4 separate regions of the Mus musculus genome follow, and all the other regions are reported to be linked to region 4. Evidence: microRNA targets listed by miRTarBase, many of them from high-throughput screens and not tested one by one. Region 4 holds a microRNA gene; each other region holds the end of a gene's coding sequence.
What was found. Region 4 holds the annotated microRNA mmu-miR-15a-5p (UAGCAGCACAUAAUGGUUUGUG, at 845-866, shown strand). A microRNA usually pairs through its seed, bases 2 to 8, with sites in the 3' UTR of a target mRNA and lowers its output. Matches are read on the target gene's strand: a 7mer-m8 pairs with bases 2 to 8, a 7mer-A1 pairs with bases 2 to 7 and ends in A, and an 8mer does both.

Region 1: miRTarBase lists Amer1 as a target of mmu-miR-15a-5p. Seed matches in the 3' UTR shown: 7mer-m8 at 2,366-2,372.
Region 2: the mRNA of Slc35e2 is a reported target of mmu-miR-15a-5p. The part of its 3' UTR that is shown has no 7-base or 8-base seed match.
Region 3: miRTarBase lists Them6 as a target of mmu-miR-15a-5p. Seed matches in the 3' UTR shown: 7mer-A1 at 1,800-1,806.

What each region holds. Positions count from the first base shown.
Region 1 is chrX:95,422,548-95,425,663 of GRCm38, forward strand. It overlaps Amer1 (APC membrane recruitment 1), which reads right to left. Exons shown (of 2, transcript NM_175179.4): 2 at 1-3,116. The coding sequence ends at 2,565. Among named protein-coding and RNA genes, the nearest start is that of Amer1, 21 kb to the right of the region's middle.
Region 2 is chr4:155,618,591-155,621,688 of GRCm38, reverse strand. It overlaps Slc35e2 (solute carrier family 35, member E2), which reads right to left. Exons shown (of 9, transcript NM_177186.4): 9 at 1-3,098. The coding sequence ends at 2,940. The region is part of intron 1 of Gm16023 (predicted gene 16023); the gene reads left to right. Among named protein-coding and RNA genes, the nearest start is that of Gm16023, 4.6 kb to the left of the region's middle.
Region 3 is chr15:74,722,977-74,726,092 of GRCm38, reverse strand. It overlaps Them6 (thioesterase superfamily member 6), which reads right to left. Exons shown (of 2, transcript NM_198607.1): 2 at 1,720-2,633. The coding sequence ends at 2,523. Among named protein-coding and RNA genes, the nearest start is that of Them6, 3.3 kb to the right of the region's middle.
Region 4 is chr14:61,629,825-61,632,940 of GRCm38, reverse strand. Mir15a (microRNA 15a) reads left to right here and starts at 831; the gene lies at 831-914. Dleu2 (deleted in lymphocytic leukemia, 2) reads left to right here. Exons shown (of 7, transcript NR_028264.1): 4 at 458-504. Mir16-1 (microRNA 16-1) reads left to right here and starts at 969; the gene lies at 969-1,061.

The DNA.
Region 1 (3,116 bases), not on the chromosome of region 4:
TCCACAAACTTCTACTTTGCCTCAGGTCCTACTCTAAGGTATGAAGTTTCAAAGCATAGCAAAATATATCCAAGTTATAGCAGGTCCCTTCAGAGATATTGCACTGTGCTGTCCTCCTGAACTGTGAGGGTAGATTCCTTCTTCCTCTTCCAAACAGGCTGGTAGCCCTTCTCCAGTGGGCTATGGAGGCTGTGGACAGCTCTAGTGCCTGCTGTAGATGGCAGCGACATGTAAACAGCAACTCAAGCTACCTTGACTAGGCAAGAGGTGTGGCTTTTCCTGTTGTAAAGGCATTGAGTGCTTACTTCCTGCCACCCAACCAGGCTAAGTTCAGCCTCACCTTCCCAGAACAGCTTTGGTAGGAGGCCAAGTGGTTAAAATCTGGGCATGTGTCTCTTATGACGATGTGGTTGGGGTAAGGAAGGCCTTTTTCACTTTCATTATCCAGATCCACAAGAGATGCACTTCTTCGTGATGTAGCCAAAGTCATCCAAGAGAGCTGATCTGAGGTCCTTGAGGGGTGGTTCTAGTGCTGGTGCCATGCAAAGTTATGAAGTTACTTACAAGGGGTTAGATTTTACCAATCAAATCTGCTCTTTTGGGGGAAAGGCACAGGGCCAATCCCAAGCTTAGAAACTGTGAAAAATATTATGAATATATGCCCTGGCAAAGAAAGTATGTCTACAAAGCAATCTTGACTCAGAAGGCCACCAGCATCTGTTCTCAAGGTAAATTGCCTTATTTTGAGCAAGAGCCCTATTGATATCTTCACTTAGTAGATGTGAAGATGGCTTTGAGGTGAGAAGAGGGACATGGGCAGAAGATTTAAAAAGTTCTAACTTTGATCAACATATCGATCCCCAAAATATTTCATATTCCAATACAGAAAAAAATTTAAAACAAGGTCTATCTTGCTATGTAGCCCTAGTGGCCTAGAACTCACTATGTAGAACAGGCTGGTCTCACACTCATATAACTCCAATTGCCTCTTCCTTCTGAGTGTTGAGATAAAAGGCACATACCTCCACACCGGGCCTGATGGAGAATTTTAAAGAAACTGTTTCATATAGATGATTAAGGAAATGTTGAACCTGGTCAAGATGAGCCTGTTGCAATGTTTTCCTGACACCAAGCTCTTCCCTAGTGTTTCCAACATTTAGGCTGGGCTTGCTTGGAGGCAGAGGCAGGTGGATCTCTGTTAGTTAGAAGCCATCGTGGTCTACATGGTAAGTTCCAGGCTAGAGAGAACTACAGTGTGGGACCTTGTCCAGAAAAAAAATATAGAAAAAAGAAAAAGAAACCTGCATGGATGCAAGAGAAGAGAGGGTGCTGTTCATTTCAGAAAGGACTGCAACTGCCATGCAAATCAGCCCTGTAGTTTGGCAGAGCAAGGGTACATTACAATCTTTCCTCTCAAGAAGCCTGGTCCTTTGAAAATGCTAAGAACTTGGCTAACTGGAAGATAAAAGCTTTTTAGTGTGCCTACAACAGGTGAGATGCCTTTGGCATCCTGTCTTAGACAAGCTTGGAACCACTTTACAAAGGGGCGGCCAAGGGTTTATTTATTTATTTACTTTTGGTTTGGGAGAAAGGATGGGAAAAGTTTTCCCTCCTAATCTGAGTTGCTTCAAGTTCCAAAGTCTGAGATCCCTTCTTGGTGTTTAGATAAATGGATCACCCTGTCTGTTTTCCTCTTTTGCATCTCACAACACCCAATGCTCTATATAGTCAAGCCCAATTTAGGTGGCTTCTCTTCCTTTAACTCAGTTAAGATACTACATTCATTGTGATGAGATGAAATTTTTCAGGGACAGGAAAAGGGGGAAGTTCTAAAATGCCTGCAACAGCCACAGGCTTAGGAAACAAACAAGATAGATATATTATTATTCCACAGCTCAAGACCTCACAGCATTTTCCATAAGCTATCTATCTTTGTATTCTGCTTGAATATGGACAGATTTAATCACCCCCTTATGAGGATTAGTGTTTTTGTCTTCAATCTAGACTATGGCAGGCCAGGTTAAAAGGACATCATCTAGTTGTGATACCAAAGTCCACAGCAACAGGGAGCGAGACACATGCTACTTGACCCACTCTAAACATAACTAACTGGGATAAATAGGTTATAGTCATTTGATGTGCTAGAAAGGAATGGGGTTAGGAAGGCTATGTACCATAACTTTATATTGCTAATAGCTAGCAAGCCTCCCATCTCTGGGTGAGAGTCAGTGCAAAAAATTGGCTGCTCATCAGTGGTTCATTAGTCAGCAAGGGACCAGAGAAGAGGGGTTCAGCCTGCAATAAGGATGCATCCCAAGCCCTGTATAGGTCACAAGAAACTCCAAAGCAAAAATTGGAGCACAGAAGCAGCAGCCTCCCTAGGCAGATATAATTGAGCTGAACCTGGCCAAAGATGGCAGAGGAAGGTGGGCAAAGTGAAAACTCAGAGGAGTTTATCTTAGCCAATAAGATTTTCAAGTGGAACAGCACTACTCACCCCTACCCCTCTGCCCAACCCTTGACCCCCAATTCACATGCTCAGGTCTCCATTCTGGAATTGATAACTACTTGGCTAGGTTTCCATTCATGGCAGTAGAGGAGTAGCTGGTAGAGAGAGAGGCACCTTGCTCACCCCTCTCCTTTGACAGGTCAAGGTTGGAAGCTCGATAGTGATTGGGTTGAAGCTGGAAGGGTTCAGGCCGCACCCTGGGCAGCTGAGGGATACCATGGGTGATACCTACAGGCTTGGCTTGAGACTGAGAGTTGGCTCCAGAAATGGAAGAGCAACTGGGCTCATCTACAGGCAGCAGTACATCCCGAGGCTTGGCCCTCCCACTCTGGGAGGCCTGTGATTGAAGGTTATAGCAAGGGCCCATGGGCAGGGGTAGGTGCGAAGGTCGAGCTAGCTGAGACACAGAGTCTCCAGGTGTTCTTCCTGGCACTGACACTGGCATTGCCACAGGAGGTACACAACAGGTTGCCTGCACATAGGAAGACTGATTGAAAGGCTCATACAACTGATTAGGGCTCATCCAAGCAAGACCTGGCCCCACTGGAAGAGGACAGTGAGCCCAGGGAGGCCAGTCATAGACCCCTGGAGGTTCAGTGTAGAGAGA
Region 2 (3,098 bases), not on the chromosome of region 4:
TCTTCAAGACGACCCGAATTCAATTCCCAGGAGCAACATGGCAGCTCATAATTATCTGTAACTCCAATTTCAGGGGATCCAACACCCTCATAAAGACACACATGCAGGCAAAACAATGAATTAAAAAAATACTTTCCGGCCGGGCAGTGGTGGCGCACGCCTTTAATCCCAGCACTTGGGAGGCAGAGACAGGCGGATTTCTGAGTTCGAGGCCAGCCTGGTCTACAAAGTGAGTTCCAGGACAGCCAGGACTATACAGAGAAACCCTGTCTTGAAAAACCAAAAAAAAAAAAAAAAAACCAACCAAACAAAAAAAAAACAAAAAAACCCAAAAAACAAAAACGTTTCCTTGTCTTTTAGTATTAGAAGTTTTGGGGTTATTTTTGTTGTCTCCCCTTTATCTTTCTGTCCCACATCTGCTGCTGGTGATCAACCCAAGAGCTTCACAATACATGCCAGTGATGTGCCACTAAGGTATACCCCAAATCATGGACGTTTTTAAATTTTATTTATCTATTTATCTGGTTTTTCAAGACAGGCTTTTCTCTGTGTTGCCCTGGCTGTCCTGGAACTTGTTCTGTAGTCCAGACTGCCCTCAAACTCAGAGATCCACATGCCTCTGATTCCCAAGTGCTGGGATTAAAGGCTTGCACCACCTCCCCTAGCAAATGTACTTATTTTTAAGATATATGTGTGTGTGTATATGTGTGTGTGTTCATACACAAGCCAGTGTGCAGATGCCCAGAGAAGCCAGAGGCATTAGAATCCCTAATGCTGAAGTTATAGGAAGTTGGTGAAACACTCTACATGAGTTCTGGGAACTGAACTTGGGTCCTCAGCAAGAAACATAACCACTCGGCCATCTCTGTAGCTCCTAGAACTATTTTTGAAATTAGAAATGTGTATATCTTTTAACTATGCGTGCAGTGAGTAAGCAGCTAGCTGGCTCAGAAGGTCAATCCAGTGTTCTGTTTACAACAGACCAGACAATGACATAAACTCAGGAGGAATTATCCAGGACAAGGAATGACACGTGGTGTCAATATTTGTACATTTACATCAGTAACAATTCATGAAGAACATAGTATTCTATGAAAGTACTAACAAAGTCAATTAAAAATGTATTGTTATGGTATAGTCATAACAAATGGTCAAGCAGGGCCGTTCCACGATTCTCAACCCAGCCCTGTCCTGGAAGACCTGAAGGAAGCAGCTGATTCCATGATCTTTCCACCTATGAGGAAAAGTCTCAAAGCAGCTTTAGAGAAAATTGCTTTAAGAAAAATCTTTGTTTTTGTTTCTAGCCCAAACCTTAAGAAAATCAAAACAAGCTGAGTCTTGTGACATGGGGGAGGGATGGCCAGAGCAAGTCACAATAGGTCATTTCCTAATTAAACATAGGACACAGGCAGAAATTCCAAATAATAGTAAGAAGCCAGGCATGTAGAGCTCTGAGCATACTTAGACAGGTCTGCGGGAAGGCCAGAAGAGCTCTGCCAACCAATACCCACAAGCACGTGCTCTTCGGTGTCAGCAGCTCCACAGCCAGATCTTGAGCAGACAGGTCTACACAGATTAATCCAACGTCTGCCATCTGTCCTCCACTGGATCTTTATTTTGAGAAGAGCAAAGAGGAAGGAACTAGAAACCTGGGCAAAGTCAAATGAGAGAACATCTTCACAATATCTTTACATAGCATAGTAAAGATACACCTAGCTGATGTCCAGCACACATCAGCTTCTTTTAAAAGTTGGCTTATGGATTAAAAGGCCTCATTTTGATCCATCATCATGGCAGATGGCTTTTTCAAGTAAATAAAATGTAGACATAATTATTGCTCTTTTTCACCCCATTATCTTTTTGAACCACCATGTGCACGAAAGACTTAGAGCAGGGAGGACCAGTGAGACCTGGACAAGGAGTGCCAGTGGCTGCAGCTTGTAAGTAATGGAGTCTTAGAGACTGGCTAGCAACAGACTGCACCCCACACACAACTCACAAAATGCCGAATAATGTAGAACCTCAGCGTGTTAACCCAAGGCCCACTGTTGTCCTCCACTCCACCTTAAGCTCTGGAGACCTGGTGGCTCAGGCAGTCATCATATGATCCCTGGTGAAGAGTTAGTTGTGCATGTACACTTTGATGTACCTTACATGGAGACACAGAGAAACCTCGACAGGCACCTGCTACATCAAAAAGAAGTGTCCCTTTAACTACAGCATAGCCTATAAACACTCAAATGCTCGTCAGAACGTCCCTATCAAGCATCCTGAAGGGAAATCTTCATAGGGCAGCCACTGTGCCATTCAGAATCGCCCGCTTCACATTCACATACTTAAAATGGAAAAGCACTCCAGACCATCTGCTTGAATTAGAGATTTGCTGCCAACTTCCCAGAATGGGCAATCACAAAATGGTAGCAGAAACATGGGACAACAACCCTGGAGCAGGGTAGTTCAATGTAGCACAGGCCAAGGAGGAGACACTTCTCCTTCACACAGCACTGTCTCTCCGTGGCAGGAGAAACTTGTCTCTTCTGCCTGCTACTCTGGGTTTTATGGCTCCATGCTAGAGTCATTGGCATCTGGAATGTCTGTTTCATAGACTGTCAAGAACCAAGAGGCTTCCATGGTGGTGGTGGTGGTGGTGGTGGTGGTGATAGAAAAGTTTAGGTCTCCTGGATGGCATCAAACAGACAGCAACTCGGGTTGATCCTGGAGCCTGTGCTTATTCCACAGTGCAGGCTGGGCACGGAGACACTGGTTCACTTGCAGCCAGGGAAGCTGTAGATCATTTGGTCCTGTGGTGCTCTGCCAGGCAGAAGCTGAGTCCCAAATTCCCCATCTGATTTCCAGGAAGGAGCGAGAGACCTGCCCTGCATCATTTCCCTCTAGTACAGAAGGAACATCTAGGCCTGGATCTACACAGCATCAGGTGATCAGTGGTGCTGTCTAGAGTCCTGGGGAACAAGGGGCTCTGTGTCATCTTCTGGGTTTCGGCTGGTGGCTGTGACCAGACTCTGCATAGTCTCCTGCTGATACTGCCTGGCCTTGTTGTAGAGCAAGACACCCAATGTGACAAGGATGGTGCCAATGGC
Region 3 (3,116 bases), not on the chromosome of region 4:
GTGGATCGAACAGCACACTCAGGGGCCGACTCTCCAGCTGGGAGCTCAAGCTTTTCAGGACCCAGGAGCCTTTGCCCTTTGGCCACTGTTTCCCTTTCCCAGTGTAGTTTCCCCGCTGTCCCTTCCACAGTGTTCTTCCCTCTGTGAGGTGTGTGGCAGCTGTGGGGCCTTAATGGCCCTAGGCACTAACGCAGTATCACGGAGCACTTCCTGGATTCTCCCAGTTAGGAGGCCATGGCCCTGAGTCCCACTGGCAATCAGGATTGCTAGCGGGTTGCCCAACAGACTGCAAGGGTAGGGGGGGAGTGACAAGGATGGTGCAGGATACCTCAGGATCCCTGAGAGGTGTGTGAAGCACCTCTTCCCCACAACCCCCTGTGCTGCCAACCTGGCCCTCTAAGCCTCACCAGCTAGGACCACATCTAGGGCCAATTCTATACTCAAAGGTCCCCTCTCGGGGCCATTCCCCTGCACTGTGAATTTCAGAGAGCCTCGTTGAACTCAGGATTTGGAGGCAAGAGGCCAGGGCTACTGGTTCACTGTAGAGACCAAACAGCTATCACCCCCTAGTGGAGCAGCTGGGGTACTGTCTCCGGCCTCTTCAGAGACAAAGAGGTGGGACTCAGTGAGAACCCAGTCACGCCTGGCCCGAGTCCATGGGGAGGCAGGAGAGCTGTGGCTTGGCACCTGAGGGGCTGGCCCATAAGAGCAATAAGCAAGGCTCAGCTACCTGGTCCCCAGTGCCAACAGAGAACCGCAAAAGCCCTTGCCCCGTGGTTGACCTTACGTACACATCTAGATTATTAAGCAGGGAATTCTATGTCCAGGCAGTGTACTCCTCCAGGTCTGGAGGCAGATGCTCAGTCAGACCCAGAAGCTCCACCTTGCTCCCACCACTTTCTATCTGGAGTCCCAGTGGGACTGTCTGGCAGCACTCAACACCTGCTATGAGCCACCCAAGCCTCCTAAGGACCCCCACCCTCCAGATTACCCCTGGCCCTTTAATACTGCCCATTTCTAGCCTGCTGCTCTACTAAACCCTGAAAAGGAAAAACCCTTTTCCAAAGGCCCTGAAAGTAAGACACTGAGTACCTACCCATGTGCCTATGGTTTAGGGCAAGGGTTAGGTAGGAGGTAGGAAGGGCAGAGGTATGGGACAGGTCTTCCCAGCTGCACACTATTGGCTAACTGTGCAACTTCTCCACCCTTGACCGAATCTGAGTGCCCTCACCCCCTGACCCCTTCCCCCACCCAGGCCCTCAGACCTATGGACTGGTGCTGGGTAGAGCACAGATCTCCCCCACCCCCATAAAACATCTGCTCCAAGTCCACGGGACCTCAGTCTCCCTGGCCACAAAGGGGACAAAGAGCCCCATGTTGCCTGAACCCCACTTTCCTAGGGCCCTCCTGGGACTCTAAGGAAGGCAACAGAAAAGACAGGCCAGGTGCACGTGACTTGGGTGGCAAGGTTCATAGGCTCCAGGTGGCGGGTGGACAAGGAGGGGGACCATGGTAGGAAGGCCAGCTGGGGCTCTAGCCAGCTGCTCACTCTTGGCCTCAATCCCATGACTCATCAGGCTTAGCCCTAAGTGCAGAGGCGCCCACAAGCCTGGGCACACTATGTCAATCCATGTTCCTCCAGAAGACACATCCAGGGAGCTGGTCGGTCTGTGCCGGGGTGGCAGGGCTGCGAAAAGGAGAACCTCCCCGGCACACGCGCCTTGAGAACTCTTTTAATCTTGTGCTTTCTTTAAATAAAACGGGTTGCAGCTTTCCCCTTGACAGCACTAAGGCAAGCATAGCAGCGTGGAGGTGGAGGTGGGGGTGGGGATGGGGGTGAGGAGGGTGCGGGGGGGGGGGGTGCAGGGCATCACTGAAGCTTTGGGCTCTGGCTCCAGGTGTGGTTCCCAGAGAGGGAGCAAGGAGGCCGTTCCTAGCTTCAAGCAGCTGGCCTCTCCCTGAGCTGACAGGACAGGTGCTAGGCATAGTCATGGAGCCCCAGACGTCATGGCGACCAGCCTAGAACAGGGTATATCCTCTTAAGAGTGGTGGGTATCACCAGAATCTTAGCCAATGACCAGCACCCACTTGCCCTTCTGTGTTCTCGGGGGCCCTTGGGTTGGTTCTGGTCTTGCTTCCCTGCTATGAGGTGACCCTCCAGATGGCCCACTGTCCCTGAGTAAGCTGCAGGCCCCAGCCACACCCATGACTACTCTGGCCTGCTTGGCCACAAGCAGCCCTGACTTTGGGTTCTGCTGGCCCTTGTGCTCCAGGACCCTGTGCATCTGGGCACACTAGAACAGTCTCGCTATGGGGACCCAGGAGGCAGAGCCGGGCCAGGACAACAACATCCACCCCACCAGCTGCCCAAAAATGAGGCAAGCACAGGGGAGTGTCAAGCGGGTAAAAGAAGCCAGGCTTGTCTGAGGCCATTCTGGTTAGGAGTGCACCCACCCCAGGCAGCCCATTCCCATGGAACGGACTGGCTGACAGGCGGGGCAGGGAGGATGCAGATGTGGCAGTCACTGGTCCTTTCTGTCACTGAGGCCGCTCTCAGCACGGAGCAGCTGGCTGCTGGTCTCATTGTAGGAGATCCAATGTTTCAAGTCTTCTGGCAGCTCAGGGGGCTCCACCTGCAGGGAGACAGGAAGTTGAGGTTTCAGAGAGCCCGGTGCCACTGTGAGCGCTAAGCAGAAGGCACAGAAAAGGGGCAAGCAGCCAGGCTGCTGCCCTTCTGCCTCTGGACCTCCTGCTTTATCGCATCCCCTACTCTGTGACCTTGCAGGAACCACACCCAAATTAATGACATCTGACCCAGTGCTCTCCCAAGCCCTTCTAACCTATTTTCTCCTTCCTAGCTCTTTCTAGCCCATCTACTTCTGCCAGGCCCTCACCAGCGGGACCACGCTTCAAGTGTCTGTCCCCAGAATCAGGCAAAAGCCTATGAGGTTGGCTGGGTGACTGACCACCACCAGCTGCCTAGAGAAGAGCAGGATGTGGGGAGGTGCTCCTGCAGGAGACTACCTGACAAAGCTGCTGCCCCGGAGTCCTTGCAGATAGGTTCTGAGGACTGAGGGTGAGGGAAGAGGCTCGATAAGGTGCTCTCTTCTCACAGC
Region 4 (3,116 bases):
CCCACTAAACAGAAAAGAGTCTTCTTAATAGTGTAAGAAAACCTAGATATTCACACACACATAAAATGAAGTTGGAACTTAACGTAGTAAAAATTTTGTTTCAGCTAAGTCAAAGTCCTGTGGTATAAAATGATACTCCTTTAAAGGACTAGCCTTTTTAACTGGGAAACACACAAATGGTTACTTAGGCTTGAGCTACAGGATTTCTGATATATCCTTTTAGGAAACCAAATAGACCTGTTATCCTAAGATGATGTTCTGGGTAATAATAAATGACACTGAACTCACAATAACTATTCCAATATTGAGATAAATCTTGTGTTCATGTGTAGATTGGGGGTTATATATTTTTGGGGAATATGTTTCATGTGTATGTCTTCTAAATATTTTGCTAGTATAAATTTCTTGAAACTGAGCTCTTACATGTTTGTTCTTACATGTTTCCTTTAACATGAAGCTTTGTCCTATGGATTTGGCTTTGAAAGATGTGCTGCTCTTAATAAGGTAAAAACCAACTTTTGTAGCTATTTCATGTGTTAAGCACATTCAAAAGTTGTTAGTTTAATAAATGAGGTTCTTAAGTTGGTATGGGAAAATGACTTGCTTTTCTCGTTTCATGACTACAATAAATTACAGCACTGTATTAAGTTTTCTGTACGCTTTTATTAAACTTATGATATGGAAATACTTTTTATTCTGCTGAAAGCCTATAAAATTATGCACATACCAGTGTTAGATTTTTTTCAAACATAGATTTTATGTGTTCTACTTTTTCCTAAAAAGCCTTTTCTGTAAATTACTATTGAGGTGCTAGGAGTTTTCAAAACCAACCCTTGGAGTAAAGTAGCAGCACATAATGGTTTGTGGATGTTGAAAAGGTGCAGGCCATACTGTGCTGCCTCAAAATACAAGGACCTGATCTTCTGAAGAGAGTACCTGTCTTTTTATTCATAGCTCCTATGATAGCAATGTCAGCGGTGCCTTAGCAGCACGTAAATATTGGCGTTAAGATTCTGAAATTACCTCCAGTATTGACTGTGCTGCTGAAGTAAGGTTGGCAATACTCTACAACTGTAATTCAATGTGTATTGATGTTACTTGTGTGTTTACACGGTTTTTCTAATTGCATTAGTGATTTTATGTTTGGTATGATTCTGTAATGATGTTAGTAACAACGCTCTACATATTGTGTCTGTTAAAATACTATATAATTGTGGGATGGTAATGCAGCTCAGTTGGCCAAGTGCTTCTTGCTAGCATGCACAAGGCCATGGGTTTTAGCCTTACCACTGCATACCAGGTACACTTGTAATCCTAGATCTGAGGAAGTGGAAAAAAGAGAATTAGAGGCTTAACATCATCCTTGGCCATAAAGCAAGTCTAAGACCTATGTAAGGATCTGTCTTTTAAAAACAAACAAAACATAATGACTTCTGTGTGAGGAACTGATTATAGGACTTCTAGATACCCAGATTTGTAAATGCTTGGATCTCCTGTATAAAATGTCTGCTCGTGACCAGTGCATATCCTCCCTTATACTTATTTAAACTTATCTCTACATTGTTTTTAATGTGTAGTGCAGTGGGATGTTAACATGGATAGTTGTATTATTCAAGTTATTCTCTTAATGATGAGAAAAAAACTGTACAATTCAGTACTAATGCAGTTTTTGTCCAAGAAATAAGTTTTTTGGTTTGGTCTTTTGAGCCTGGGTCTCACCATGTAGACCAGGCTGCCATGAAACTCACTGAGATCCTCTTGCCTCCGCCTCCCAAATTCTTTGTTTAAAACTGTAGGCCCCAATGCCTGGCCACCCAAATGTTTTGAATGTGTGGTTGGTTGGATCCACAGATGGAGCACTGACTAATAATATAACAAGTATTTTTAAGTCTTGAACACCTTTCCAGAGTTTCTTGAGAGCTACAGTGGTACAGAATATACCCAGTACCACCAAGGCTCGAGCTCTCTTTCCAGCATTTCCATATAAAAGTTTATTTGAAAGAGTTTAGGAAGTACCAAATTGTACATGAATTTAAACTCATATTATTACTTATAATAGAAAAATACTTTTCTCTTGATTTGAAGTTTTCTTTAGATACAGATAAAGTTTGAAATGCTACAGATTATAACATAATCTTGAGTATAATGTGCCTAAATATTTCATTTTAAATGAAGGAGAATAACACTAAAATGTGTACGTTGAATTTTTAAACTTAAATTTAGAAGAATCCTTAGAATAGCTGACCTTTTTATTGGTTAACTGAGGAAACAATCTGAAATTTAATTTGCAACCTATGACATATTAGGGTATAAATCCTATATCTTCTAACTTAATAATTACTGTTTTTCTTATTTTTCACTAAAATGTTTAACAGGAGATTTTTATAAGTCAAAAGTATGAAAGACATCTCATCTGTGCCTTAATATTTAACTTCAGATTAAAGCTAACAGTCATTAATTTTATAAATATATTCAGAATATTTTAATTATTTCAAAGGAAATGTTCTTTTTTTTTTTTTTTTTTTTTAAAGATTTATTTATTGATTATATGTAAGTACACTGTAGCTGTCTTCAGACATTCTAGAAGAGGGAGTCAGATCTCGTTACGGATGGTTGTGAGCCACCATGTGGTTGCTGGGAATTGAACTCCGGACCTTCGGAAGAGCAGTCGGGTGCTCTTACCCACTGAGCCATCTCACCAGCCCGGAAATGTTCTTTTAACTATCCCATGTGCTTTATTTTAAATGTTTTACGTCATTATTTTAAAATGTTCAAGAAAACACATTATCTCACAATAATGTCCTCTAACTCTGTCATTACTTTTTACAAGGAGTCTCTTACCTTTTCAGATTAAAGGTTCATAATTAATTCTACCGTGTGTTGTGGAGATCCTAAAAGTATTTCAGTTATTTTTTAAGGAATTGTCCTCAAAAGAACCACTACTCAATTCTAATTTAAAGGTAAAATTAAGTAAGTTTTAACAAGTTGATTTAATTAACTATAGACTCCGTTTTTGGAGCATTTTTTCTGTGTATGAGTACACTGTAGCTATATTGATGGTTGTGAGCCATCATGTGGTTGCTGGGAATTTTGAATTCAGGACCTCTGCTTGCTCC